Linked DNA regions of Callithrix jacchus. The protein of the gene in region 1 purifies or fractionates together with the protein of each later gene. This does not show direct contact. Links are inferred from orthologs where the notes say so. Each region holds a gene or a part of one and is shown on either strand. Other genes may lie near its edges.

Region 1 (9,844 bases):
TCTGGAGAGAGACAGACAGAAACAGAGGCGGTAGGGGGTTGGGGATTTAAACTGTGCAGGCAATTCTACACAACATTCCAGTCAGTGAGTGTACATTCTGGAGTGAGGGTAAAATGGGACAGGTGAATTTGCTATTTCTTTCATCTGTTTCCATGCTTTCACATCTTGCCAGACTAGTATTTAAAGTCATGAATCTTTTATGCAACCTGATTCTTATAAACATATGCCGATTATTTCATCTTGTGATCAACTGGTGGGAGAAAAACTAGCAGAGTTAGACTTTTAAAATACTTTGCCAAAATATTGTTCTTTATGTGTTATGTACAGTATTTTCAGAGGTTACTCTGGAATAGATTAATTTTACGTTCTGTTGACTTTAGAAACAAACGCTTACGTATACAGGGATTTCATAATAGTTTTCTATAAATGGTATTAAATAAATATAAATACAGGATGTTGAGTGATATTCCACTTTTCAATGTAATGTCATATAAGGGAAAATAAATACAAATTGAATATAATTTTGAAGTTTAAACTTTTTGAAAGCAAAATGATCATTTCTGGTTTGTTTTGCTTTTTCTGAGATAGGGTCTTGCTCTGTTGCCTAGACTGGAACACAGTAGCACAGTCATGGCTCACTGCAGCCTCAGTGTCCCAGGCTCAAGGGCTTCTCCCATCTCAGCCTCCTGAGTAGCTGGAAACACAGGTATGCACCACCATGCCTGGCTAATTTTTAAATTTTTTGTAGAGACAAAGTCTCGCTATGTTGCCCATGCCAGTCTCAAACTCCTGACCTCAAGCAATCTTCTTGCCTCAGCCTCCTAAAGTGCAGATACCTGGCCTGCTTTGCATTTTTTAAAAGCATCATTATATTTAAATTAACTCTTAGATACCTAAGATATCTTACCTTTCAGATGTTCTAGTTTTAGATTTCTAAGTTTCAGCACTTCATCTGTAATCTTCTGTATCAGGAAGTTCTGTGTTTTTTCTCGCCGAATAGATTCAACAAGGGTGTCTAGACCTTTTGGGTTTTCCTGTAGGTAGTCTAACAATTTTCCAGCCCGTTTTCTACTTGATGTTCGACAAGAAATTTCTTCAGTGTCTTCTCTACTGAGTATTTTTTTTGCACGCAGATGATCAAAATGTCTCTCGGCTATGATTTTCTCACACAGGTATACACGTAAATTTTCTAAGGCCTAAAAGACACAAAATATGGTTCAATGTTGTTCTGTAACATCTAAGAAAATCACATAGGTGTGCATTAGCTGGGAATCTTAACTGGTGTGAGAGAAAATTCTAAAGTGAGGAGGCTCAGGCCTTGTAAAATGCGTGCTAAATAAAATGAAAATCCAAATAGACACAAGTAGGTCCTAGACATTCCTCACTGCTCTTATCTCACCTTCAAACCTAAAACCCAAGAGCAGGCTGTTGTGAGGAGGGACCAGCTGAATCTTGAGGGCCTGGGTCCTCGGAAACAGGGAGGTCTGTGGAGGGCCATCTTTGGAGGTAAAGATGAGGGCAAAGACTACTGTACATTTTACTTATCAGTTAGCAAGGAATCCAGAATTAGGACCAATAACTTAGTCCTAATAACTTAGGACCAATAACTTAGAAGTGAGAGGCTTCACAGTCTGTAACTTTCTCATGTTTGTCATTAATTACTCTATTTCCTTAGAGTAAAACTGTTAAAAACAAAAACAAATCCCTAAATGGAAAGGGCCCATAACGTATCTGTCTTTGGGGTCAGCTGGAAAGACTACACTCTAACTCAGTGAATCAGTCTTGGAGGAACGGAGATGGAAAGATGTGTGGGGAGAGAAACCTAAAGGAATAGTGACTGTTGGAAAAAATGGAAGAAATAAAGAAAAAGGACACCAAAAAAGCAAACCTAGACTTGAGAAGTACCTGACAGCTTGATTAGTAGAAAATCCACGTTGATCTCAATAAATGGCATTAATAATTTGATACCAATGATTATACTTTAATTCCTCTATTTACTAGACACAGGATCTTGGGCAAGTAATTAACTTTTCTGTACTTGTTTCTTCAGCTGACTGTTATATGAGGAATGAATAAATTAATATATGCAAAGTGCTTAAAAAAGTGCTTGGTACAGAGTAAGGGATCAATATATGCTAGTGATGATGACAAAGGTAATGGAAGGTCTTAGAAATATCCTAGAATATGATGGCGGGAAAGTAGGCTAGGTGATCGGTTCCTGTGTGAATAAACACTTTCTTTTTTTTTTTTTTACCCTATTTTCAAGCTAACACTTCACTTTTAAACATCCTCTTCCCCATTTCTCACGTCCAGTCCATCACCATGTCCTATCTTATCTATTTCAAAAATGCATCTGGAATTCTCCTGGCTCATCCATCTCCACTGCCTTCACCCTGATCCAAATCACCATCATCTTTCATCCACATAGATTCCAGGAGCCTGCTCAATGGTTTCCCTGCTCTTATTCTTGCTCTCCTCAGTCCATGAAACAGGCAGAGGGAATTTAAAAAATACAATTCTTCAACGAGTCCCTACTATACTTTGGGGAAAAGAAACCCAAACACTTTACTAAAAAGCTCTTCATGAAAATGGCTCTAGCCCACCTTCCTAACTGCATTTCAGATTATCCTCTCTGCCTTCCTCCGATTTCTCCAAGTCACCAAGGTCTTGATTGTTTTAGGTCCTTGGCAAATTCTATGCTGCCTAGAACGCTCTTCCCTCAGTTCTGTCAAATTCTTCAGGAATCAGTTTAAATGTGACCTCTCCTGACCATCCTATCTCAAGTCGATTTCCCCTATTACTGTCTTGGCACTGTTTGATTCCCTCATAATAACCGCCATAATGAAAACAAATAAATCTATTTTGTTTTCATTTATATAATGAAAACAAATAAATGTAAAAATACATTTATTTGTTTTCAACTCTAACATCTCTGTTTGAAGCAGGCAGCAAAGAGGTATGTTTTAAGCAACACTGTCTATCCTGTACTTAACCCAGAGCACCAAGTAGATAATGCTTCAGATGAATGCAAAACTCACTGCACTTATTTTTGGGATTTAAAATGATCCCCCTCAAGAAACTGAACTCTTTTCAAGTTAGGATTGTCTTAGTTTTTAATTTTTTAAATTGTAGAACCAACCACAGTATCAGCCTCACAGTAGCATGTAATCCATATTTATTAAATTGGACTAAATCCAACCAACACGATGAGGCAAATAACCAGACAGCAAGAGACACTAAAGAAGTGAGCGGTCCCAAGACGAAGAGTGGTAGCACACCATTCATCGAGACAGACAATACAGCAGCAACAGCAAGCAACTGAGGGGGAAGGATGATAAAACGTTCAATTTTTGTCAAGGTGAGCAATCTGTAGGATATAAAAGTAGATTTCCAGTAGACATTTGGAAATAAGGACCAAGAGTAGAGAGAGAGGTCCAAATATTTTGATGATAATTTTAAAACTTTCTAAGATCAGAAAACATTTTGAAAATATCATGAAAAAAATCTCTAAGAAGAAAGCATGCACATAGTTTTTTTCATAGACCTTTTGAAATCCATCCATCATTTCAAGGTTATGCAATTCTGATATAAGCATAAAATGAAATCCTGAAGATGGATAACATCAATGAACTGACAGAAAAACAAAGACCTGGAAGCCAGTCTTTACAACTGTATTTGTATACAGGTCTTATTTCCTTCCACTTGTAATTTCTCAGTTCCTGTTTTATTAGCTGTAAAATGTGAATGGCAATTATCTTCTTTAGAGGTTGTTGTGAAGGTTAAGTGGGAACATTGTAAACTGTGACACAGAATGTGGAACATAGGAGGCCTAGCTCCTGGAAGTTCAAGGTTTTACTGGTACTCACTATGAATAAGCCAACATTTATTCTACAGTAGTTTATTTATATGCCATTCTTATCTCAACTAGAATATAAAGCAGGAAACTGATCTTCATTTTTTGTATCCTTCCAGACCCAAGGTCAGTGCTTTCCATATAGTAAGTGCTCCATAAATCTCTGTTGAATGAGGAAACTAAGCACAAGTCCCAGTCATATCCAGTTTCCTTCTGCTGGTGAGTCACACCAATTGTGAGTACAGTGTAATAAACCTTACAGGGAAGAGGAAGGGATTTGAAGTGGATGAACATTTAAAAAGTTGCCATCCTGTCCAGTTCACCAAAATGACTGTGTAAAAGTACCGCAATGCTCAATAAGAACACGTTTCATGTTCAGTTTGTTTTTAATTTGAATTTATATAAAGTGTTTTAGTGAAACTCATATAGGTCTCATCTGGCAAAACAAGTAACTAAACACAAAAGAATGTCATATCTCAACAAAGCCATGCGATACAAATCAATATGAAGGTTTATGTAGTTCTGCACCATCCGAGAAGAGCATAATTTAGCTACTGAATATTTTCGACGTTTACCTGTAGGATAATTCTCAGCTACGTGTATTCACTCCCCCAACCCCAATTTAAATATGTGGGTGTCTGCTAACTAGGGGAATTCCGGGTTGTGCTTTCAGCTGTTGAGCTTCCTCCAGCCCCCTATGCAAAAGAGCTTCACATTTTTGGTCCACTGCTCGGGATCCTTCATCTGGTACAACCTTTGCTCTAGGCTGATATAGTAGCCTAGGCGGCCAGACTCAAGGATGAATCTGAGCCGCCAGTCCCTAAAGAAGCATCTCCAAGAACGCAGTGGGGGAAAAGCATGCGGGGATGGGAGAGGAGTGGGCAAGAAGCAAAGCTCCGCTGGGCAAGGTTCCCAAAGCCCAAGCTCTGCGTTTATCGACGTAAAACCTAGATTAACAGGTCACTGCTACCCAGGTCCCTCGGATGCAGGGCTCGCCGCATTCCTCCCGTGCTGGGACCTTCCGCTCCTCCGACCTGGAGGATCCTCCTTGTCCTCGGACTCCAGGTTTCCGCTTCCCTCGCCCGCTGGACTGCAGCCCGCCCCCTCCTGCCCTGGGCAGAATGTCGCTACTCACGTCCTTCTTCACTTCAGTGAGGTCCTCCTCGGTAAGGGACGGCGCGGTGGGCTCCATGGTGGAGGCTGGAGATGGCGCTTCTTCCGGGTCTAGGAGCTCGCGCTCCGCCGCCCCGCCCTGACTGAGAGCTTCGGCCTCCGGGTAATGGGAGAGAAGGCGAGGAGGCGGAGCGGATAGGGAGAAAGACTGCCGCCCCTTCGGGAACAGAGCTGGGGGTCAAACCGTAGCGCTTCCGGCCCCGCCCCTGGGGTCGACGGCGTCGCAAATCTAGACGTCGCGACGCGGAGCTAGGAGGAGCGCTCCTTCCCTCTCCCAGAGGCTTAAGGTGCAGGCACCGCCCCCGGGCGAGGCGGGTTCCTCGGCAGAGCCCACCCTGCCACTGCGGCAGCCTATCGGCGGCACCCCGCTGGCCGCTCCCGTTCCCGCCCCCCACCGGAGCCTTTCCGGTGGCTCCGCCCACAGCGGGGCCGCTTCTCAAGCCACGCCTGCGCAGGTCGTCGGCGAGTGGCCCGGGTTAGCTTCCCCATAAGGTAACGTTTCCGTGGGTGGGATCCGTCAGTGCCCAGGCAGCTGGCATTGTCAGCCTTTGCTGCTTGCTCACTTCGGGGGAGTCCGGTATAGGCTTGTCCGTACCTTCGGGTTCCTCCCCTTTTCCCAGATCCTGCCCTACAATTTCCTGATGCTATGTTTGTCAGTTACTGTTTTGGGCATATACAAACGCACTCACACACACGTACACATGCATACACACAAACAGCGTAACTAAAATACTGAAGAAATTTTTGAAGAAAAAAAATTTTCGAAAGAAAAGAAAAAAATGTTTTTTGATTGTCCACTATGTGCCAGACACTGTTCTAGGTGCTAGGAAAACCGCTGTGTATAAAACTGATAATCCCTTTCTTCATGGAATTTATATTCTAGCCTATGTGTGTTTGGGGCAGACGAGGTAGACACTTGAAAATTTTTATCTAAGTTTATTTATTTATTTGGAGATACAATCTCACTCTGTCACGCAGGCTGGAATGTAGTGTCATGATCTCCACTCACTACAACCTCTGCCTCCCGGGTTCAAGTGATTCTCCTGCCTCAGCCTCCCGAGTAGCTGGGATTATAGGCGCGTGCCACCACACCCAGCTATATCTAAGTTTTTTAAATTAATGAATTTATTTATTTATTCTTTTGAGATGGAGTCTCGTTCTGTCTCAGGCTGGATGGAGCACAATGGCGCGATCTCTGCTCACTGGGTTCGAGCAATTCTCCTGCTTCAGCTTCCCGAGTAGCTGGTACTACAGGTGCGTGCCACCATGCCTGGCTAATTTTTGTACTTTTAGTAGAAACGGGATTTCACCACTTTGGTGAGACTGGTCTGGAACTCCTGGCCTCAGGTGATCTGTCAGGCCTCCCACCTCCAGGCCTTGGCCTCCCAAAGTGCTGGTATTACAGGCACGAGCCCCCATGACCAGCTATATATAAGTTATTTAATATATTAGAAGATGATAAACGCTAAGAGGAAAAAATAAAACAGGGAAGTAGGATGAGGCTGTGTGGGTTGGCAACATTTAAACTAACGTGGTCGATGACTGCACTGCTCACTTTGGAGGAGTCTGCTCTCGGCTTGTCAATACTGAGATAAGGGATTTGATTTATGCTTAAAGGAAGTGAGGGAGTGATTCGTGTGGATATAAGGAGAGAGCATTATGAGTACAGCCGGCAACCAACAAAAAGGCTCAGTGTGCCTAGAAGGAGATGAACTTGTGTGCTGAGTCATATGGGTGTGCTGAGTCAGACGGGAAGCCACTGGAGGGTTGTGAGCTGAGTGACCTGATCCGATTTGTGATTTGAAAAGAAATACTTTCACTTTTGTGCTAAGGGAAGAGAAGGTGGAAGAGGGAAAACCAGTTAGGGAGCTATTGCTATATTCAGGCCCCAGGAGGTGGTGGTTCAGACCAGGGTGGAGCAGTGAGGGTGATGGGAGCATTTTGAAGAGAAGCAAGGAAGCAGTTTGATTTCATTTTGAAAGGATCACTCTGGCTGCTGAGTGGAGAGTAGAAGGCAGGGGCAAGGGCAGAAGCAGACACCAGGTGGAGACTACCACAGTGTCAGGGTCACCACTTCCTCGAATGTCATGCTTGGGGTCAGGTTCCAGCCCATTGCTGAGGTCCAAGGGGAGTGGGTGGATGAATAGAAGAAACACCCGGGAGGACCATAGACAGGTGAAAGATTTTATTCAGCAGCAACTCTCATCAACAGCTTTCTTACACTAGTTGTCTATACTGTCTGCCCTGTCTCAGCTGCTTAGTCCAGCGGCACCCCCACACAGGTGTGTGGTGGGCTTTGCCTTCAGGGTCAGCAGCTATACTCTTACTCTGTCTGGGCACAAGCAAGCCGAGCTTTGTCCTGGCTCCCCACTGTTCGTCTGCAAGACAGACAGCTCTGGCTCTCCCTCTCTCTCTCTCTCTCTGGGCACCAGTGTGCCTGCACAGTGTCAACAGGGCAATTATATCTTTTACAGACAATAGTGGCTTAGAGCCAAGGGATTACCTTCCCATGTCATGGCTACATGGCTGTGATAACGAGTGGAGTTTTACGCCTGTGCTCTAAACTTGCTGAGTGCCTTTGGATGTTTACTTCGGCTTATCCTTGACCAAAGCACAGCTCTGTTCCTTATACACAGCCATCCAGGCACAGCTTAGGGTGGCGGGACCAGGGTTGGGGCAGTGGTGAGCACTCCCCACTGAAACCTTAAATCGTTCGGAGTGTTCATTGTTATTAAAAAATTGTCACAGACTTTACATATTTTCACCGTTTTTCCCTTCAAATTATCATTGCCTGCATAAATTCCCAGGAGTAGGAGTACAAAGCCCAAGGAAATGAATATTTTATGGCTTTTCATATATATTTTTGCAGGTGCTTTCCAAAAGGGTTGTATTGGTCTATCCGTGTGTGGGAAATCAGTTCTGCTGATGAAGGAGGGGTTCTCCCATCAAAGCAAGTGAACTGAATGCTGCCAATTTAACCACTCACTTTGATCGGGCTATTTGGAGGTTGCTACTGCACTTTTGTTCTTTTTTAAAGGAAACATTTTGAACCCACCAAACTATAAAGAATATTACAAACACCCTATGCTCACTACCAAGATTGAACAGATATCAATATATTGTCACATTTGCTTCTGTTATGGCTTTGGATTACCAAATGTTAGTGGCAGACATCTTTGATTCTTGAACATTCTTTCATGCCCTTACGATACATCTGAGTCTTTCTCTTTCCTTGACTCACATCATTTCATTTCTGATACCGCCAACCCTTTTCTGTCCTCAGTATTCATTCCCTTATTTATTTGGTCAACTAAAAAGTTAACTTTCTGCTCTGTGTTAGAATTGGGAGTTATAGAGTAAGGGGCAGGAATTGGGTGGGAATGAATGAGGATTCCAGGAGTTTTTTTTTAATTGCAGAAAGAGTAATATTTTGCTTTTCAGGCTATGTGTCAACGTTCCCAAGATGAATTGCCTAACTTAAGCGGCCACATCTGAATACCATGTGCCTAATCACAGAGCTCGTTTGTGGCAGGCTTTGCAACTTCCAATCCTTCTTGCTTTCTAGTGCATCACAATTCTTTCATTACTAAACTAATTTTCCTCTTTCTGCTAACTCACAGGGTCTGGCTAACAATGAAGCTTGGGCATAGTTTCAGAAAAACAGCCCCACCCATCCACTACCTTGCAATAATCCTACCTCTTCCTCATCCCTAAAAACAGCCTCCATCCCCCCTCAACTTCTAGTGCCTCCTACTGTGAAATAGAAGAGTAGTAGTGCCTTCTACTGAGAAATGTGCTGTGCAGGATGCAGTTTAGGTGTTACAAGCATGAGCCACATAGCATCATGGTGTGGATGAGAGTCATTAAGCATGAGGGTGTCTGACATCTGACAGTCTATTCACTTCCTAAGGCCATCATACCAAATTACCAAAACCAGCAGATATTTATTCTCTTGCAGTTCTGGAGGCTAGAAGTCCAAAGTTGGCAGGGCCACGCTTTCTCTAAAGCTGTAAGGGAGGACTCTTTTCTTGCCTCTTTCTTTCTTCTGGGGCTTCTGGCAATCCTTGGCATTCCTCGGCTTGTGGCACCATCACTCCCACCCCAGCCTCCATCTTCACATGAGCTTCTTCTTCTGTGTTTCTGTGTCCACATTTCCTTCTTTTTAAGGCCACTAGTCACTGGATTTAGGATCCATCCTAATTCAATATGACCTTATCTTCATTTGATTACATTTGCAAAGACAATTTTTTTTTTCTTTTGAGACAGGGTCTTTCTCTGTCACCCAGGCTGAAGTACAATGGCATAATCATGGCTCAGAGCAGCCTCAAATTCCTGGGCTCAAGCAGTCCTCCTCCTTAGCCTCCCAAGTAGCTGAGAATACAGACATGTGCCACCACGCTCAGCTATTTTTTTTTTTTAATTTTTACTTTTGTAGGGACAGTGTCTTTTGTTATGTTGACCAGGCTGGTTTCAAACTCCTGGACTCAACCGATCCTCTTGCCTCAGCCTCCCAAATTGCTGGGATTACAAGCATAAGCCATCATGCCAGCCAAAGACACTATTTTGAAGTAAGTTCACGTTCCAAGTTCTAGGAGATGGGAATTTTGGGGAGACGCTATTCAGGTCAGTACAGCTGGATTCTAGATTTGGCAATTATTAGCTGTATAATCTTGGATCAGTTCGTAAGTATGCAGTAAAGATAGTGATAGCAAGAATTCAGAGGCAGGGAAGAGGAAACCATTCTGACCAATAAACAATATGAAAGAGGAGTTCACCCAGTATTTTAGCTGGGTGGGAGGATTTTAACAGGTGGAGCTT
Region 2 (9,979 bases), on another chromosome or scaffold:
CTGCTGATCTGTGTCTGTATCCCTGGCTTTATGGGGTGTAGACCTCCCCAGTATCCCCAGGACAGGAGCTCGCAAATGCCATAAAACCTGGAGGCCACTGCGAAACTGTAGAAGTCAGGCTAGCAAAGGTGATAGGACGGAACAGGTTTTTATAAAAGTTTGAGGAGTATTTGTATAATAAAAGAAAAAGAAGACCTATCTAATTTACTACTTAGAATAATATAATCTTGGTGCAAAACTGGAACAAGGATGTACAAGGAAAGTTCACAATAGAACAGGAACAGTCTGAATGATGGGTCTTTGTCACAGGGAGAGGACACAGGGCAGTGCTTAGTGACGGCCTCTGGAGCCAGGCAATCAGGATTTGTATTTCTGCTGCCACTACCTGCTTTCCCTGTGACCTTAGGGATAATGACTTGCCTTCACTGAACCTTAACTTCCTCATATATAAAGGGGAAATAACCTTTACAATAAGCCTTTTAGGATGAAATGAAATAATTCAAGGAAAGGAACTTAACAATATACAAAACATAGAAAACCAAATAGAAGTTAGCTATTGTTAACTTTTATAAACATGAATTCCAAATTTTATATAAAATAATACCAAGTCAAATGCAGTAATGTACACACACACATAATGCATCATGGCGAATTAGGTTATATTTCAATAATGCAAGGACAGAGTCAACACATAATGCACTATTAGCAAGCTAGCATCCTTTTTTTTGTTTTGTTTTGTTTTGTTTTTTGTTTTTGGGGTTTTTTTTTCTGAGACAAGGTCTCTCCGTCACACAGGCTGGAGTGCAGTGTCAAGATTTTGGCTCACTGCAACCTCCCCCTTCCTGGCTGAAGCAATCCTCCCCACAAGCCTTCCAAAGTGCTGGGATTACAAGTGTGCACCACCACACCTGGCCCTATTTTCCTTAGTATATAACAATTATCACACTTAATGGTAAAATTTTAGAAGAAATTTTCATCAAAGTTAGGACGTAGACAAGGGTAGCTTCTATTACTGTCTCTACCGAACATGGCACTGGAGGTCCTAGGCAATGCGTTCAGCTGATACATAGGAAGTTGCCTTTTTTTTTTTTTTTAGGTTATGAGATGCCCAACATCAAAAATGTATGTGAGTCAACCTATAATAGAAATAAATCAACCAGGTGAGATGGATCATTCCTGTAATCCCAGCACTTTGGGAGGCTGAGGCAGGCAGATCACCTGAGGTTAGAAATTGGAGCCTAGCCTGGCCAACATGGTGAAAACTCTCTACTAAAAATACAAAAAAATTAGCTGGGTGTGATGGCACATGCCTATTATTCCAGCTACCTGGTAGGCTGAGGCAGAAGAATCACTTGAACCCGGGAGGTGGAGGTTGCAATGTGTGGAGAACATGCCACTGGACAGCCTGGGTGACAGAGTGAGACTCTGCATGAAAGAAAGAAAAAGAAAGAAATCAACAGGCACGGTGGTTCACACCCATACTCCCACCACTTTGAGAGGTGGAGGCAGGACAATCGCTAGAACCCACGAGGTGGAGATTGCAGTGTGTGGAGACCGTGCTACTGCACTACAGCCTGGGTGACAGAGACTCTGAAAAAAAGAAAGAGAGAAAGAGAGAGAGAGTTGAAGGAGAGCAGGAGGGAGGAAGAGAAGGAGGGAAGGAAATCAACCAGGTGCGGTGGCTCACACCTGTATTCCTAGCACTTTGGGAGGCCTAAGTGGGCAGATCACCTGAGGTCAAGAGTTGGAGACAAGCCTGGCCAAAATGGTGAAACCCTGTCTCTACAAACAAACATACAAAAATTAGCCAGGCATGGTAGTGGGCTCTTTGTAATCCCACCTACTCAGGAGGCTGAGGCAGGAGAATCTCTTGAACCTAGGAGGTGGAGGTTGCAGTGAGCCAAGATTGTGCCACTGCACTCCAGTCTGGGTGACAGAGTGAGACTCTGTCTCAAAAAAAAAAAAAAAAGGAAAGAAAGAAAGAAACATATGAAGAAAATGAAATTTTTAAATTGAAAAGAAGAAAACTACCTGTATTTGCAGACCATATGATTGTCTATGCAGAAAATCCAGAAGAATATACTGATAAATTATTGGGACTAGTAGCAGAATTTGCAAGGTTTTCTAATTCAAGATCAACTTAGAAAAAAACTATTAGCATTCCTGTACATCCGAAATAACCACTTAGAAACCGTAATAGAAAAAGACATCCTATTCACAATAGCAACAAAACCCTGAGAATATATCTAGCAAAATGTACACAGACCTTTCACGAAGAGTATTGCTATAGCCAGAATGTGTCTCCAAAAATTCCTGTTTAAAACTTAATTGCCAGAATGATAGTATTAAGTGGGGGCCTTTAAGAAGTAAGTCATTAGGGTGAGCCCTCATGCATGAGATTAGTGCCTTATAAAGGGCTTGAGGTGATGGTACATCTGTTCTTTCTGCCTCATGATAACATAGCATTTGTCTGCCCCAGAGGAATCAGCATTCAAGATACCATCTTGGAAGCAGACACCAGGCCCTCACCAGACACTGTACCTTCTGGAGCCTTGATCTTCTTCTTCCCTCCCTTCAGAACTGAGAGAATAACTTCTGTTGTTTGTAAATTACCCAGTCTCGGGTGTTTTGCACTAGAAAAAGACTAAGACAAATATAAAAATTACTCATTGACTTAAAGGAAGAGCAGAAATATAAGCCATATATATTATGAATGGTAGGACTCGATGCTATAAACCTATAATTTCTCACTGAATTAATCTATAAATTCAAGCAATTCCCAGACAAATCCCAATAGAGCTGTTTTTGGAACTTGACAGGCTGATCTGAAAATTCATGTAGTCATTGAGGGGCCAAGATTAGTGTAGCTGACCTGGCGCGGTGGCTCACACCTGTAATCTGAGCACTTTGGAAGGCCGAGGTGGGTGATCACCTGAGGTCAGCGGTTTGAGACCAGCCTGGCCAGTGTAGTGAAATCTCATCTCTACAAAAAATACAAAAATTAGCTGGGCGTGGTGGCATTTGCCTGTAGTCCCAGCTACCTGAAAGGCTGAGCCAGGAGAACTGCTCAAACCCAGTAGGTGGAGGGGATAGGGAGCCAAGATAGAGCCATTGCATTCCAGCCTGGGTGACAGAGTGAGACTTCGTCGGTGCAAGACTGTTTCAATTACCATGGTTTTATTATAATTCATTACCTGTTAGGACAAGACCTTCCAATCTTACTTTTCTTCTTCAAAATTGTTTTAAATACTGTAAATATTTTTTTATACATAAATACAAAAAACGTTAGCACGGCAACTTTAGCAGACATCTATAGCTTATTTAAAAAAATTAACAGCAACTCTATACTAGCAAAATGAAAAACAAATTAACTGAATAAATGAGTAACTGAATTAAATAACACTAGGCTACAAAGTTATACAAGATTAAAAGTTATGAAGTACTATTTATTATACCTAAACGATATTACTTTTTTGGAAAAATTATCTAAGGCTTTTGCTTTTTTGAAATGCAAGCTTTCCCCTATACTTAAGTATATTCATTATCTTACTGTTTTGGTCAGGACAAGAACTGAAAAAGAGAAATAATCTTGAGTTCAGAATGAACAATTCTTGTTATATGTATTTTCCCACATGTTAGGAATGTTCTGTAACTTTCCGAGAAATAGTGACTTCAACTAAATACTAAACTACTACCAAGCCCCAGCTGTATTTTTGGATGTGTTTAGTCATTGGGAGCCATGGCATTTCTTTTTTCTGTATTACGAACTGTTACACTCACTTACTCTGACTGTTAACATTGGAACAGAAGACCTCCTGTTCTGTGACTGATTGGCAGGCAGAAATGACACGGACAGGAAATGGGAAATGGTTCAGGGTCTCGGAATTCCCCCGGCTGCCTAATTAAGTGGCTTGCTATTTGGAAGTTTTTAAAATGTTTGTCCCTTGGAGTTCCCCAGAGAGAAGCAAGCATCAGATTCAATGGGCAAAGAGCGTCAACTTCAAAAGTCTTTGGCTGTCATACCAAAAACATTTACTGCATGCCATTGTGTCTATGGCACCACTGAGGGAGCATGGAGGTGGACACAAACGGTCCATGACTAGTAAAAGCCAAGGGTTTTTATCTACAAATTTTCTATTACCTAAGCATTAAAAAAAAATTGGGCTCCTCTATGGTTTATGTACAATTATATGTGCGTGTACACCAACATACAGGCAGGAGTATGTCTTTCATTTTACTGAAACTCAGAAAACACCGGAGCGTGAAGCCTGGCTTGCAATACAGTTCCCGTCGCTAGCAAGGAGCATCTGAAATACCGACACTTTTCCTCAGAGCGTGATTTCAGTATGCACTGCTGGTCTCCAGAACCGAAAACCAAAAGTTTAAAAACAAGATACTCTAGTTGATCATAAAACAATTGTTAAGTCTTCACAATTATTCATCGGATGCTTCCTACTTTCCAACGCTTCGCTGTTTTCGATTTGCACAGCCAACCGTTGGACATCGATGCTACACAGTTACGATTGTTTACTTAAGCAAAATATGCCACCAGACCGACTCCATCGTCAAAATCCAGTCATCTCGACGACGAGGGAAGGCATCACACTGGGGGGGGGGCCTTGCCAGGGCCAGGCCACAGCCCTGAGATGACACATGGTAGGACGCGCAAAACCACCGGCGCCAGGGTGTTTCCGCAGATTCAAACGCAGCGGCTCACGTTCTGCCACGTCCCCCAGGAGAATGGTGGCCACAGAGAGAAAGGAAATGTGAGGGGCACACACCGCAAGGTAAATAAAACGAACAAACACCGAGTTGATTCGGATAGCCCCATTCCCCTGACAACCCAGCCGGCGACTCCCGTGGGCGCTCACTGGCGCCGGGCCTCCCTGGGCCACCCGGCGTCTTTCCCGGAGGTTTGTCTCCTCACCGCCTAACCCGCGCTGGGTTTCGCTTTCCCGCCCCGGCCTCCCGGGCGCCCTCCCGCGGAGGCTAACGCGGGTCCCCGGCCCGGCGTGCTGACGTCACCGTGCGTCGGCGTGGGCCCGGCTGGGGCGGCGGGCTTCGGGAGCGCGGGGGCTGATACGAGATGAGCTGGCCGTATCTCCTAGTAGGCGCCGCCGCTTCCCGGCTCTGAGGAGGCCTCTCGGTAGCCGCGCAGCTTCCGTGTTTGCTGCGCCCGCACTGCGGTGAGTGCTGCTCCTTCCGGGCTCGGGCGGCGCGGGACGGGTGGGGACGGGTGGGGACGCGCGGGCCCGCGGGGGCCCACTTCCCTAATGTGGTGGCTGCGGGAGGAAGGACGCGGCCTGGGGCCCGTCGGCCGAAGGTTGAGGGTCGCCGGGGGTTCTGTGCTTTCCACTCTCACCGAGGTTTTATTTGATTCGGAAGCCCCAACTTCAAGACTTGCAGTCAAAGCGATTTTTTAAATAGGACTTGTTTTCAAGCCTCCTCTGGCCGCCGCCCACTCTTCTGGCCCTGGGACCTTGACCAAGATGTTTTCTCGCAGTTTTTTTTTTGCAAGGTTTTAAACTTAGCTTTCGGCTTTCTTTTAATGGAAGACATGGAAACGAAGACATTTCGGTGGCGCCGAGATCTCAGATTTCATAGTTCCCACTGCGCTGTCACTCCGGTAGTCGCCTGCGGTGTGTTGTGAGGAACAGCTCTGGGAAAGTATTGGGTAAATCCCATAGCTTCTATTCCTTTCCTTTCCGCCCTGTCCCCTTGCCCCGCTGCAGTTTGCATAAAGAGAATGCAGCAGTGTGGTGCTCGTAGATACAAATCTTTCATTTAAAGACAGGCTATGAGACGGGGTGTAATTAAAGCCGTCACGGCAGTGGTCACCGTGCCAGGACCACTGTTTCACAGCCCATCGTGTTAGGTTTTGTTTTCGAGTTGCTTTCTGCGGTTGTTGCCTTGGAATTGTAAGGGAATGGTGGCGTTTAAGGGTTTATATTAATGAGCTCCTGTTTTACTGCAGTTTTCCTAGTCGTGCAGAGACTTGATATTTACACACTAACGTTGCTGTCTAATTACTGCTGTACTGCTGCTCACCGGGTTTAGTGGAGTGTCTGCCTGTCTTTTTAACCAACGTTCCTTTGCCTCCAGGAGAGTGCCAGAGATAACTTAGGTCAGAAAAGGAGAGGAGCGCAAGGACAAAATGTTTTTTCCTGTGAAAATGTCCATTTGCCTTCAAAATTGTACATTTTCAAGACAGTATAGTTAGTGCTCTGGGAAGTATATTGCATTTATTTATTTTAATTAAGTACTTTTTCAGTTAGAAAGTTGTAGTGACAAATTGCTGGAATTAAGATGTATAATCTTTTCTTTTATTATTATTATTTTTTTAAGACAGAGTCTTGCTCTGTTGCCAGGCGCCAGTCTGGAGTGCAGTAGCGCAATCTCGGCCCACTGCAATCTCCGCCTCCTGGGTTCAAGCAATTCTCCTGCCTCAGCCTCTCAAGTAGCTGGGACTACAGGTGCGCGCCGCCATGTCCAGCTAATTTTTGTATTTTTTACTAGAGACAGGGTTTCACCATGTTGACCAGGATGGCCCGATCTCTTCACCTTGTGATCCGCCCACCTCGGCCTCCCAAAGTGCTGGGATTACAGGCGTGAGCCACTGCGCCCCGCCAAGATGTATTATCTAAAGTGTAAATTATTCTTTCACTTCACTGAATAAATTGAAGAGTATATAAGTTCTATTTGCCATGCAAATACAGTTTTCTGAAATACCTTTTGTTTTTTCTTTTCAGATTTACAGCCCTGAAGAATCTCCCTCTCCCTATTTTTCCCCCTGCAGTAATAAATCCCATTATGAAGACCTCGAAACTTTATAAAGGGATATAGTTTGAATTCTATGGAGTGTAATTTTGTGTATGAATTGTATTTTTAAAACATTGATTTCAGAAAGAAGGCTAGTAGAGTTGATTATTGATACATTATGCTAAGCAGTACTTTTTCGGTAATAGAATATTTTGTTAGGCATTTCTGATAACACTAGAAAGGGCAGGTTACATCTTGTGACAAATTGAGTAATGTTTAATTACAACATGACTGATAATTATAGCTGAATCGTCCTTAAATGATGTACAGGTTATTTAGCTTTTAAATGCAGTGTAAAAAGTGTGCTCTGGAAATTTTACAGTTAACTAAGTTTATGGAGAAAATACCTTTAGTTAATCAAGAATAATAAAACTGTATACAAAGTTAGGCAGAAAGTCCACATGATGCTGCAGGAAATGGAAACAAATACAAATGATATTTAACTAAGATAGAAGAGTTTACAGTCTGTGAACTTTAAGCAAAGTTCATTTGACATCAAACACTGTAACTGGCACAGGTTCAGCAAAGCTTGTGGGTGTTGGCTTCCCCAAAAGTTGTCAGCTGAAGTAATATAGCCCACTTATGTAAATACTCTGATGATAAGGGGTGTGAATTTAGCCTTTAAGTAGTGTGACCATATGAAGATTTTAATTACTTTTGTTTATTGGAATAAAATGAGATTTTTGGGGGGTTGTCATATTAAAATGCATATAGGGAAAGATGCCTGCATATAATTTCTTACCTTGTGGCATAATTCAGTAATTGTCCTGTTATCCAGGCTTAATAGCTTGTAACCAAACATAAATAAAAGGCATAATTTAGGTATTCTATAGTTGCTTAAAATTTTGAGAATATAAATCTCTTTGAAAAATCAAGGAGTTTTAACATTTTCAGAAGTGCATTGACTTTTTCTGAGCTTTTCGTTAGTATTATACAGATTATGAACAAATAGCACTTAGGTTGCCTAAAAGAGTGACTATAACCCCAAAGAGTCGTGTTCTAAGTAGTATCTTGGTAATTCAGAGAGATACTCATCCTACCTGAATATAAACTGAGATAAATCCAGTCAAGAAAGTATAGTGAATTCTACATAAGAGTCTATCATTGATTTCTTTTTGTGATAAAAGGTCTTATTTAGTGTGAAGAAATTTCAAGTGAATGTTTTAGCTATCAAACAGTACTATCACCTACTCATGCACAAAACTGCCTCCCAAAGACTTTTCCCAGGTCCCTGGTACCAAAAAATTAAGAGTATAATGGAAGATAGCACGCTTTTGTCAGATTGGACAAACAGCAGCAAACAAAAAATGAAGTATGACTTTTCCTGTGAACTCTACAGAATGTCTACATATTCAACTTTCCCTGCCGGGGTTCCTGTCTCAGAAAGGAGTCTTGCTCGTGCTGGTTTTTATTATACTGGTGTGAATGACAAGGTCAAATGCTTCTGTTGTGGCCTCATGCTGGATAACTGGAAACTGGGAGATAATCCTATTGAAAAGCATAAACAGCTATATCCTAGCTGTAGCTTTATTCAGAATCTGGTTTCAGCTAGTCTGAGATCCACCACTAAGAATACGTCTCCAATGAGAAGCAATTTTGCACATTCATTATCTCCCACGTTGGAACACAGTAGCTTGTTCAGTGGTTCTTACTCCAGCCCTTCACCAAACCCTCTTAATTCTAGAGCAGTCGAAGACTTGTCTCCGTTGAGGACTAACCCTTACAGTTATGCAATGAGTACTGAAGAAGCCAGATTTCTTACCTTCCATATGTGGCCATTAACATTTTTGTCACCATCAGAATTGGCAAGAGCTGGTTTTTATTATATAGGACCTGGAGATAGGGTAGCCTGCTTTGCCTGTGGTGGGAAGCTCAGTAACTGGGAACCAAAGGATGATGCTATGTCGGAACACCGGAGACATTTTCCCAACTGTCCATTTTTGGAAAATTCTCTAGAAACGCTGAGGTTTAGCATTTCAAATCTGAGCATGCAGACACATGCAGCTCGAATGAGAACATTCATGTACTGGCCATCTAGTGTTCCAGTTCAGCCTGAGCAGCTTGCAAGTGCTGGTTTTTATTATGTGGGTAAGAAGCAAGTAACTCTACATTTTATCAGTTTATTTCAATTTACGTATTAGAACATGGGTTTTCAGTATTTGTTTGTTTGTTTGTTTTTCCCTGGAGGTCGCAACGATGATGTCAAATGCTTTTGTTGTGATGGTGGCTTGAGGTGTTGGGAATCTGGAGATGATCCATGGGTAGAACATGCCAAATGGTTTCCCAGGTAATTGTTTTGAAAAGGTATTTGTACAAAAACTCTGCTAACTAGAAGTAGGCATGCTTACGTGATAAAGTTTACCTTTAAATCATAACAAAGCCTCTTTTATGCCACTGAAGAATTACCCTTCTAAAAGACCACATTTTAACTGTAATTATTTTGTTGAAAAGTATTCTTCTGTGTACTTTTCTTTTGTAATTCAGTTACAGTTATGGCCATACATTTTATTTATTTCCCATTTTCTTTTAAAGAGTACTTAAGGATTACAAAGACTTTATATAAAATAGAACAAAAAGAAGATAAGTTAGAAAAAGGTAAGAGAAGGAAAATAGAATAGATGCAGGAATAAGGCAAATTTAAAAAATGCATTTATTAAGAGCATATCTGGGCTGGGTGCAGTGGCCCACACCTGTAATCCCATCACTTTGGGAGGCCGAGGCAGTCCTTGGATCATCAGAGGTCAGGAGTTTGAGACCAGCCTGACCAACATTGTAAAACCCTGTATCTACTAACAATACAAAAATTAGCCAGGCATGGTGGCACATGTTTGTAGTCCCAGCTACTTTGAAGGCTGTAACAAGAGAATCACTTGAACCCGGAGGCAAAGGCTGCAGTGAGCCAAGATTGTGCCACTGCACTCCAGCCTGGGTAATTTAAAAAAAAAAAAAAGGCATATCTGCCCATTTTAATTGTAATTGTAAATTTTCTATACAGTTTTTTTTTTATAATCTGTCATTTACCTCCTTTTAGACACTTTGTCTCTAGCAGTATTTTTTTATTATATTCTAGAAAGAATTTAGGGGCAGCATTATTAGTAGAAATAGAATTAGAGATTGTCTTTATAATTGAGTAGCTATGTGAACTTGGATCTCATTGGTA
Region 3 (9,859 bases), on another chromosome or scaffold:
GAAGGGTAAAGGCAGAAAAATTTAAATTTTAAATTAGTGACAATACTTCTAAAACAATGGATAATACCTAACTTTTATCTAGCTAAAAGTAAACAGTCAACTTAATTCAATACTTACCAAGTAAATATTTATTAAGTATGCACCACGTATGGGTGATATAGAAATAGTGGCAAACAGACTGAAGGGGATGGGAAGATGTTGTTATCCAAATAAAGAATGTTTATATAAATCTTTATCCTTTTTGCTTCAATGGAAACACAGGTTTTTGGTTTTTCTTCACATTTCACTTTAAAACCAACAAACCACTTTTGTTTCCATGTACCTGACGCTACCACTCCTAAAGTAAATTTACCCTTTCCACACCCTCATCCAGTTACTGTATTCTCCTTAGAGACTACACCCAGAAGCCTCACTCTATTCTTGGATGCCTTCCCAAACCAGTTCACCAAGCTTTCTTCCTCAGACCCAGATCCTGAAATCCCATCTCCTCTCTCAGGAAGCCTTAATTTGAAAGCCAGGTTAATCTGCTTAGCCCCACCCACAGAGAGCTTAAAACTACCATAACTCTCTCACACTCACCACCTTATAATAGGCTCCTATTATTATTATTCAGCTCAGAAGTTAATTTATTCATGTGCTTATTCAGTTTATTACTCATTGCCCTTATGAGTCTGTATCAGGTCTTAAATAAAAGCTACCAGATAAAAGGGCATGTACTTAACTTGGGTTTAGCAGTGAAAATGGCAATGCTTAATGCTTTCTGAAAATGATTTCAAATATATTAAATTTAACCTGATTTGTGAAATTTATAAAATCTCCCAACATAAATAATCTCAAAAACATTATGCTAAGTGAAAAGTGCCAGACACAAATGACCTCATACCATATGATTCCATCTGTAAGAAATTCTAGGAAAAACTAGTGACAGAAAGCAATCAGTGGGTGTAAGGGGCCTTATTTTCCCACACAGGATTTTTTTAAAGACAAGAACCATTTAAAAACCTCAAATCAGGCCCGGCACAGTGGCTCACACCTGTAATCCTATCACTTTGGGAGGCCCAGGTGGGTGGATCACCTGAAGTCAGGAGTTCAAAACCAGCCTGGCCATCAGGGTGAAACCCCATCTTTAAAAAAATAATAATAAATAAATAAATAAAATTTTAAAAAATAAATAAATTGAAACCTCAAATCTGTATCATCTTAGATTTCACATTAATCTTTACGTCAAAAGATAAATTTGGAATTTTCTTCCAAGTGATTTACCTGCCCATTTACAACCAATAGCAAATTTTATCATTCAGTTCTCCGTCAAAACTAACAGCTGGCCCGGCGCGGTGGCTCACGCCAGTAATCCCCAGCACTTTGGGAGGCCGAGGCAGGTGGATCACCTGAGGTCAGGAGTTCAAGACCAGCCTGACCAATACAGTGAAACCCCGTCCCTTCAAAAAAAAAAAAAAATTTTTTTTTTAATAGAAAATAAAAACTAACAGCTTTGGAACTTTTTTTTAGGATAGTTTTATTTGTGTTGTTTCCATGTAAGCACTATGCAATCCAGTCCTTAATTCAAGATCTGAAAAAAAAAAAACCTGAAATAGAAAAGGGGCTACAAGCCTGGCATAGTGCCTCACGCCTATAATTCCAGCACTTTGGGAGGCCATGCCAGTAGATCACCTGAGGTCAGGAGTTTGAGACCACCCTGGCCAACATGGTGAAACCTCATCTCTACTAAACAAACAAAAAATTAGCTGGGCATGGTGGCGCAGGCCTGTAATTCCAGATACTTAGGAGGCTGAGGCAGGAGGATCGCTTGAACCCGGGAGTCGAAGGTTGCAGTGAGTCGAGATGGTGCCACTGTACTCCAGCCTGGGCAACAGAGTAAGACTCCTCTCAAAAAAAAAAAAAAGCCAGGATTGGTGGCTCACACCCATAATCCCAGCATTTTCGGAGGCTGAGGTGGGAAAATGACCTGAGGTCAGGAGTTCCAGGCCAGCCTGACAAACGTGGTGAAACCCCTTTTCTACTAAAAATACAAAAATTAGGCCAGGCGTGGCGGCTCACACCTGTAATCCCGGCACTTTGGGAGGCCGAGAGAGCAGGTCACGAGGCCAGGAGATGGAGACCATCTGGCTAAGATGGTGAAACCCCGTCTCTACTAAAAATACAAAAAATTAGCTGGGCGTGGTGGCACCAGCCTGTAGTCCCAGCTACTCTGGAGCCTGAGGCACAAGAATCGTTTGAACCTGGGAGGCACAGGTTGCAGTGAGCAGAGATCGTGTGACTGCGCTCCAACCTAGGTGGCAAGAGCAAAAACGCCATTTCAAAACAAAAACAACAACAACAAAACAAAAAAAGAGGCTCCAGTAAACAGTAAATACCATTCTCAACTATTCTGAAAATTTTTGCAAATTTTTTTTTATTATCGCTGGAAAACAGCTGGGTTTTAAACTACATTTTAGTCTCTATTCCATGAAGAGGCTCTTTTAATCCCTAAAGTCAAAACATTACTCTAAAACCCTCAAGAGTTGACGGAACAATGTATTTCTATCTCGTCACCTTGTATCCTCATTACCACTATTTGTATCCACCAATATTCCACACCAAAAAAGGCCACAATTTCTCTGATGTTAAAATTTACTGATAAACTCAACAGGTTAAAATTACTTATCAAAGTGTGGCTAAGTGATTAAGCTCTCTTTTAATAAAACTGAGCTGAGTAAATTTTAACATGGTGGTGCTCAAACTGCCTCTGCCACTATCTATACAAATTTAGTTTGGACTGAAAAGTGACAAACATGACCATTCACTAAAGGAAAGAGTAATTAACACTTTTAAAAGAACTACAAAGGATTTTACATAGTATAATTCAACAATTTCGTATCATATCTGCTGACGAGATCACAAACATTGTCACTATGCCATGTCCTTCCTGGAACCCCACTGGCTCCTGCAGCTTTATTCTTGACTTTTTCAAAGGTTTAAACCACTTGGGGCTGCTGAAGGAGGTATCAAGGAAGCATAATTTGTGAACCCAAGCTGAGAAAAGGGCAGGAATATGGGGTTGAGTCACGTCGTTCCGCCATTTTCTAAGCGGAGGAGGAAGACATGTTGGAACAAAAACACAACAAAAGAGCAGCCATTTCCCAAGCCAGCTCCAATAGCAACCCGAAATGACACTGCCCTGTCGCTTCGCCACCTTCAAATCCACTTCACTGAGCAAACCTCTGAACACCAGACATGCCGCCGTAAAAAAGGCAGCAGTCAAACCTTCCGCGTAGAGATCAAAGATGACCTGCACACTTTACTGCAAATGAAAGCCTCGGGAAGAGGGAGAAATGACGGAAGCGAAATGGGACACAGTGTAATACAATGAAATTTTAAACTAAGTTAGCAAACTGAAATTTACTCAGTGATTGCGATAACTGACTTACAGGAAGCCACTAGCTGTAGGGAACCCAGGTAACTGAAACACCAAGACCTGGATTCAGCTGGTCTCCTTACCTGCCTCTACCCACTTCCCCATTCCGTGCTTCCCTCAGCAGACCGCCTATATGCACAGGGTTCTTACCGTATGTGGGGGATGCCAACCCCACCTTGAAGAATCTTATAGAGCTTGCTCTCGTACAGCAACTGGGGATGCCTGGCCTTCTGAGATTCTAGCTTCACTGCCACTTCCTGCAGGGGAAAGAGGGATGATGGCATCAACATCCCTACGGATTCAATGTCACTTAGGAAAGGAGGGAGAGACATTAGCAAAACTCCAAGTCGCGACTACAGGGAAAAAGCGAAAGACTGGAAAGAGAAAGCTCTCTGTAATTATAAAATGAGGCAACCAGCCTCTTCAGGGGGTAGTGACGAAATCCCTACCTCTTCTAAAGTGCAGGAAAATGATTCATCCAGAAAAAAAGAGGCAACCTCTGAACGTAATGAGAGGTTTTTAAGGAACTAGGCGATCGGAAACTGTTCTAATTGGAATAAGAGGCCAGCAGAATTAAAAATAAAATAAAATAAAAGCATGGGAATCACAGAAATAGGATTTTGCCGTTTCCACCTTAAAAAACGGTTAAAAAAAAAAAAGTTCAACTAAGGGACATTTATGGGACGTGTTTAACAAGCTGGGAACCTTCCCCAACCTTTCTATCGGGTTCTTGATCCTTTTAGGGAAAGAGCGGGGGAGGTTCAAAAGCCAGGAAAACTAGCTCTCTGGACTCCCTGACGAGTGCGTGCGGTGGGGAGAGGCCCAAGCACTTTAGGGGTGCGCGGTGGTGGGGGCGGGGAATGAGGAAATGCCCAGCGTTATCGTCAACCCTACCCCAGGTGATTACCTCGCCGTTGGTGATGTTGATCGCCAGATAGATGTCCCCGAAGGAGCCAGACCCGATCTTCCGTACCAGTTTGTATTTCCCTCCGACAATGAATTCGGCCTTGGAGCCGCTGCTGCTCGCCATCCTGAGAGACGAAGATGGAGGCTGGGGCCAAGCCCCGACACCTCTGAGGGGAAGACGGAGACCTCTCGAGCTCCTACACCGGGCAAGGCTACGGAGGAAGGCAGCAGGAAACGGAACACAGAGGCCTTTACCGGCGTTCGGGGCCCAGAATCAGCCGAGGGGAACCTGATCACCACCGCTCAGTCAGGTTTCTTTTTGCCAGGCCGCACTTTGTGAAGGGCTTCTCGCGGCTACCAGGCTGGGCCACTTGTTCTCGTTGGCGGCCGATGCCTGCTTGAGCGGCGACGTCGCGGGCAGGAAAAGGGGCGCGGTGAGCTAGGGCGGCGATACCACTGCCAGCACTGCTGCTGGCTCCGGCCCGGAGGGACCCCTGTCACTCCGCCGACGACGCCATCTTGTTACTCCAGCTCCAGCCAACACAAAATGCCCCCAGTCCCCGGGAGCCGCTTCTTCACGGCGCAGAGCACTCTGGGAAAGGGATCTCGGGCGCTCGCTCCGGAGGATCTGCAGCCAGAGGGAGGGCGGAACCGGATCCGTGAGAGTCGCGGCCCACGCTCCAAGCGTCACCTCGTCACCGCCCAGCTGCGCATGAGCACTGTAACTCCTGCTGACTGCGCAGGCGTGCCGCGGCTGGTACTCACCCCGCCCCAGGCTCTCTTCCACTTCCGGTTGGCGGCTGTTCAGCCGGTGCTACCTGTTACCACGGACCCGCCCGGACCCGCCCGGTCTCTGGAAGGCTGAGTGGCCTCAGGCACCGATGTCAGGGAGAAGTCACCTTCCCGTTTCCTAACAGATAAAAGCTTCAGGCCTCCTTAGGAGTTTGGTATTGACCTTTGCTCTTTGTTTCAGGAGGTTTTTTTTTTTTTTTTTTTGAGACGGAGTTTCACTCTTGTTACCCAGGCTGGAGTGCAATGGCGCGATCTCGGCTCACCGCAGCCTCCGCCTCCTGGGTTCAAGCAATTCTCCTGCCTCAGCCTCCCGAGTAGCTGGGATTACAGGCCCACGCCACTATGCCCAGCCAATTTTTTTTTTTGTACTTTTAGTAGAGACAGGGTTTCACCATGTTGACCAGGATGGTCTCGATCTCTTGACCTCGTGATCCACCCGCCTCGGCCTCCCAAAGTGCTGGGATTATAGGTATGAGCCACCGCGCCCGGCCTGTTTCAGGCGGTTTTTAATCTTTGATCTTCTGGCCGCTCCCCCCGACCGGCCTATTGCAACCAAGTTTCTGTTTGGAAAGAGGCTATCGCCTCTGGTGGAGAAGAAGAGAAAAGCAGCCCGCGTATCGGGCTGATCGAATCGTTCAGGGCTCTCGGTTGTAGCAAAGCCCAGCTAATTACCCTTCATAAATAGAACTGTGTTCTCTACTACGGAGTGTTAGAGACCCTGTTTGCTCAGGAGGGGAAAAAAGAAGCCGGAATCCTCCTACCGTCCTTTGTCTTTGCATTATTGCCCCACTACCACATTTGATCTTCATGAGAAAACCGGGTATCTTGCCATAATGAAGATTAGTAATAGGTGGAATCAACAGAAAATTAACAAGAGTGAAAAAACTGTTCTAGCCCTCCTCCCAATCCCACCAAAAAAACGAAAAAAAAAAAAAGAATCATATGTTGGTCATATGGAAAACCTCAATATTAACCTTAACATATAGCAGAGGTAACTGTCGCAAAACATAATTGACAACATTTAAAACCATATGGTAGCCAGGGGCACGGTGGCTCACGCCTGTAATCCCAGCACTTTGGGAGGCTGAGGCGGGGGTATCACGAGGACAAGAGATCAAGACTATCCTGGCCAACATGGTGAAACCCCATCTCTACTAAAAATACAAAAATTAGCTGGGCGTGATGGCAGGCGCCTGTAGTCCTAGGTACTCAGGAGGCTGAGAGAGGAGAATCGCTTGAACCTGGGAGATGGAGGTTGCAGTGAGCCAAGATCATGCCTCTGCACTCCAGCTGGGTGACAGAGTAAGACTGTGTCTCAAAAACAAAACAAACTACACGGTAATTTTTTTCTTTTTACTAAAAATAGATCAGAGAATGAAATCTTGACCACATATTGTTTTACAAAATTTGATGGCCAGGAGTGGTGGCTCACGCCTGTAATCCCAGCACTTTGGGAGGCCAAGGTGTTTGGATCACCAGAGGTCAGAATTCAAGACTAGCTGGACAACATGGTGAAACCCCATCTCCACTAAAAATACAAAAATCTGCCATGTGTGGTGGCACACACTTGTAACCCCAGCTTCTCGGGAAGCTGAGAATCATTTGAACCCGGAAGGCAGAGATTGTGGTGAGCGTAGATCACGCCACTGCACTTTCAACCCGGGCAACAGAGAGACCCTGTCTCAAAAAAAAAATTATAAGTACAAATGGAAAAAAATGTGAAGTATTTTAACTGCAACTTTGAAAGCTGATCAGGTAATTAGTAATAGGGTTCATCTTGGAAGAGATCTTAACTGAAGAGAGAGGGGAAAAGACTTCCCCTAAGGTTTAGCATGAAGTTTTAAAGCACAACCAACACCTGGGGTGCCCAACTCCCAAATCAGCCCTATTAGACATCATTTGCCTTTGGTGACTCGAAAGCACATTTTGACTAAGTTAAAATCTGCTGTTAAACTCTGGTCTAAAATTAAAAAAAAAAAAAAGCCAAATATGGCTAGACATGGTGGCTCACACCTGTAATCCCAGCACTTTGGGAAGCCTAGGCAGGTGGATCACCTGAGGTCAGGAGTTCAGGACCAGCCTGACCAACATATAGAAACTGTCTCTACTAAAAATGCAAAATTAGCTGAGTGTGGTGGCACATTCCTGTAATCCCAGCTACTCAGGGGGCTAAGGCAAGAGAATCGCTTGAACCCGAGAAGCAGAGGCTGTGGTGAGCCGAGATCATACCGTCATACTCCAGCCTGGTCCCTGGGCAACAAAAGCAAAACTTCATCTCAAAAAAAAAAAAGCCAAGTTTAAGCATCTTGAGTTTTCCAGAGATCACTACTATTTTGCTAATTTTCTTTCTTTTTTTTTTTTTTTTTTGAGACGGAGTTTCGCTCTTGTTACCCAGGCTGGAGTGCAATGGCGTGATCTCGGCTCTCCGCAACCTCCGCCTCCTGGGTTCAGGCAATTCTCCTGCCTCAGCCTCCTGAGTAGCTGGGACTACAGGCACACACCACCATGCCCAGCTAATTTTCTGTATTTTTAGTAGAGATGGGGTTTCACCATGTTGACCAGGATGGTCTCGATCTCTTGACCTCGTGATCCACACGCCTCGGCCTCCCGAAGTGCTGGGATTACAGGCATGAGCCACCGCACCCGGCCCCCAAAAATTTTTTTAACATAGAAAATAAAGTCCTCAGGTGTTGGCTATGACTCAGCCTTCTCCTTAAAGTCATGTATCTTTTGCACGAACTTGCATCCTAAGAGACTGAAGAATAACCTGTTTTTGGTGTTGCTACTAAAGTCACAAATCATTCTGTACTTACTAAATCAGCAGCAGCTTTGGTATAATGAAAGGAGTCTTTTAAATGTACCAAATAGGGCTGGGGGCAGTGGATCATGCCTGTAATCCCAGTACTTTGGGAGGCCTAGGTGGGCAGATCATCTGAGGTCAAGAAATCGAGACCATCCTGGCCAACATGCTGAAACCCCGTCTCTACCCAAAATACAAAAATTAGCCAGGTGAGGTGGCATGTGCCTGTAGTCCTAGCTACTTGGGAGGCTGAGGTTGGAGGATTGCTTAAGCCCAGGAGTTCTGGGATGTAGCGCACTATGCCGATTCGGTGTCCACACTAATTTCGGCATCAATATGGTGACCTCTCAGGAGCGGGGAACCACTAGGTTGCCTAAGAAGGGGTGAACCGGCCCAGGTCGGAAACAGAGCAGGTCAAAACTCCAGTGCTGATCAGTAGTGAGATCGCGCCTGTGACTAGCCGCTGCACTTCAGCCTGGGCAGCATAGTGAGACCCTGACTCTTTAACAAAAGAGAAAAGAGGGCCGGGCACTGTGGATCAAGCCTGTAATCCCAGCACTTTGGGAGGCCGAGGCGGGTGGATCACGAGGTCAAGAGATCGAGACCATCCTGGTCGACATGGTGAAACCCCGTCTCTACTAAAAATACAAAAAAAAATTTGCTGGGCATGGTGGTGTGTGCCTGTAATCCCAGCTACTCAGAAGGCTGAGGCAGGAGAATTGCCTGAACCCAGGAGGTGGAGGTTGTGGTGAGTCGAGATCGTGCCATTTGCCCTCCAGCCTGGGTAACAAGAGTGAAACTCCGTCTCAAAAAAAAAAAAAAAAAAATTTAGACCTTGAGGGAAATATAGAGCTCACCTAGTTCAATAATAATACTTGTATTTTTTAGTGCTTCGCAATTTATTATTTTTATTTTTATTTTTTACAGTCAAAGTCTCACTCTGTCACCCAGGCTAGAGTGCAATGGCACCACCATAGCTCACTATAGTCTGGACCTCCTGGGCTCAAGCAATCCCCCTGCCTCAAGCTTCCCCAGTGGCTAGGACTATACGCAGGCACCACTGTGACTAATTTTTTTTTTTTTTTAAGACTCAGTCTTGCTCTTGTCCACCAGGCTAGAGTGCAATGGCTCGATCTCTGGTCACTGCAACCTCCACATCCTGGGTTCAAGTGATTCTCCTGCCTTAGCCTCCAGCATAGCTGGGATTACAGGTGCCTGCCACTACGCTGGCTAATTTTTGTATTTTTAGTTGAGATGGGGTTTCACCATATGGCCTTGAACTCCTGACCTCAGGTGGTCCCCCAGCCTCGGCCTCTCAAAGTGCTGGGATTACAGACATGAGGCACTGCGCCCAGCCTTTTTTTTTTTTTTTAAGTTTTTGTAGAAATGGCATCTTGCCTTGTTGGCCAGGTTGGTCTTGAACTCCCCGACTCAAGTGATCCTTATGCCTCATCCTCCCAAACCGCTAGGATTATAGGCATGAACCACTGTACCCGGCCTGCAATTTAAAGTACTTTCTTTTTTTTTTTTTAAAGACAGGGTTTCACCATGTTGGCCAGGCTGGTCTTGAACTCCTGACCTCAGGTGATCCACCCGCCTCAGCCTCCCAGAAGTGCTGAGATTACAGGCATGAGCCACCACGGCTGGCCATAGAGTACTTTTATACATATTAGTTGTGTGCCAGTAAAACAAAGTGGCTTGCCTAAGATCCTAGAGATCTTAGTGGCAAAGACAGGACTAGAGCCACAACTACTATCAAAAGAAAGAGAAAAAAAGTAGAACACAAGTTAGGACAGTTATATCCCAGGGATTACTTCTATGTTCATAGAGAACTCAAGATGAATTTTTTTTTGCTGGGTGTGGTGGCTCATGCCAATAATCCCAGCACTTTGGGAGGCTGAGACAGGAGGATCGCTTGAGGCCAGGAGTTCAAGACCAGCCTGGGC

What was found. The genes of interacting proteins can lie anywhere in the genome.
Region 2: the proteins of BCL10 (region 1) and BIRC2 purify together in Homo sapiens (affinity purification with western blotting; 3 studies listed by BioGRID and IntAct, with this or other methods). This does not show direct contact. The link is inferred for Callithrix jacchus from reciprocal best matches to the Homo sapiens genes BCL10 and BIRC2.
Region 3: the proteins of BCL10 (region 1) and CSNK1A1 purify together in Homo sapiens (affinity purification with western blotting; 4 studies listed by BioGRID and IntAct, with this or other methods). This does not show direct contact. The link is inferred for Callithrix jacchus from reciprocal best matches to the Homo sapiens genes BCL10 and CSNK1A1.

What each region holds. Positions count from the first base shown.
Region 1 is NC_133508.1:122,507,833-122,517,676, forward strand, and holds the start of BCL10 (B-cell lymphoma/leukemia 10), read right to left. Parts: upstream 5,112-9,844; 5' UTR 5,046-5,111; coding exon 4,989-5,045; intron 1,197-4,988; coding exon 908-1,196; intron 1-907. UniProt on the Homo sapiens protein: Plays a key role in both adaptive and innate immune signaling by bridging CARD domain-containing proteins to immune activation.
Region 2 is NC_133511.1:2,386,393-2,396,371, forward strand, and holds the start of BIRC2 (baculoviral IAP repeat-containing protein 2), read left to right. Parts: upstream 1-5,026; 5' UTR 5,027-5,186; intron 5,187-5,503; exon of another isoform or gene 5,504-5,555; 5' UTR 5,556-5,674; intron 5,675-6,345; exon of another isoform or gene 6,346-6,368; 5' UTR 6,369-6,473; intron 6,474-6,516; exon of another isoform or gene 6,517-6,647; intron 6,648-6,749; 5' UTR 6,750-8,012; coding exon 8,013-8,907; intron 8,908-9,006; coding exon 9,007-9,106; intron 9,107-9,979. UniProt on the Homo sapiens protein: Multi-functional protein which regulates not only caspases and apoptosis, but also modulates inflammatory signaling and immunity, mitogenic kinase signaling, and cell proliferation, as well as cell invasion and metastasis.
Region 3 is NC_133503.1:48,237,567-48,247,425, forward strand, and holds the start of CSNK1A1 (casein kinase I), read right to left. Parts: upstream 4,954-9,859; 5' UTR 4,446-4,953; coding exon 4,323-4,445; intron 3,673-4,322; coding exon 3,566-3,672; intron 1-3,565.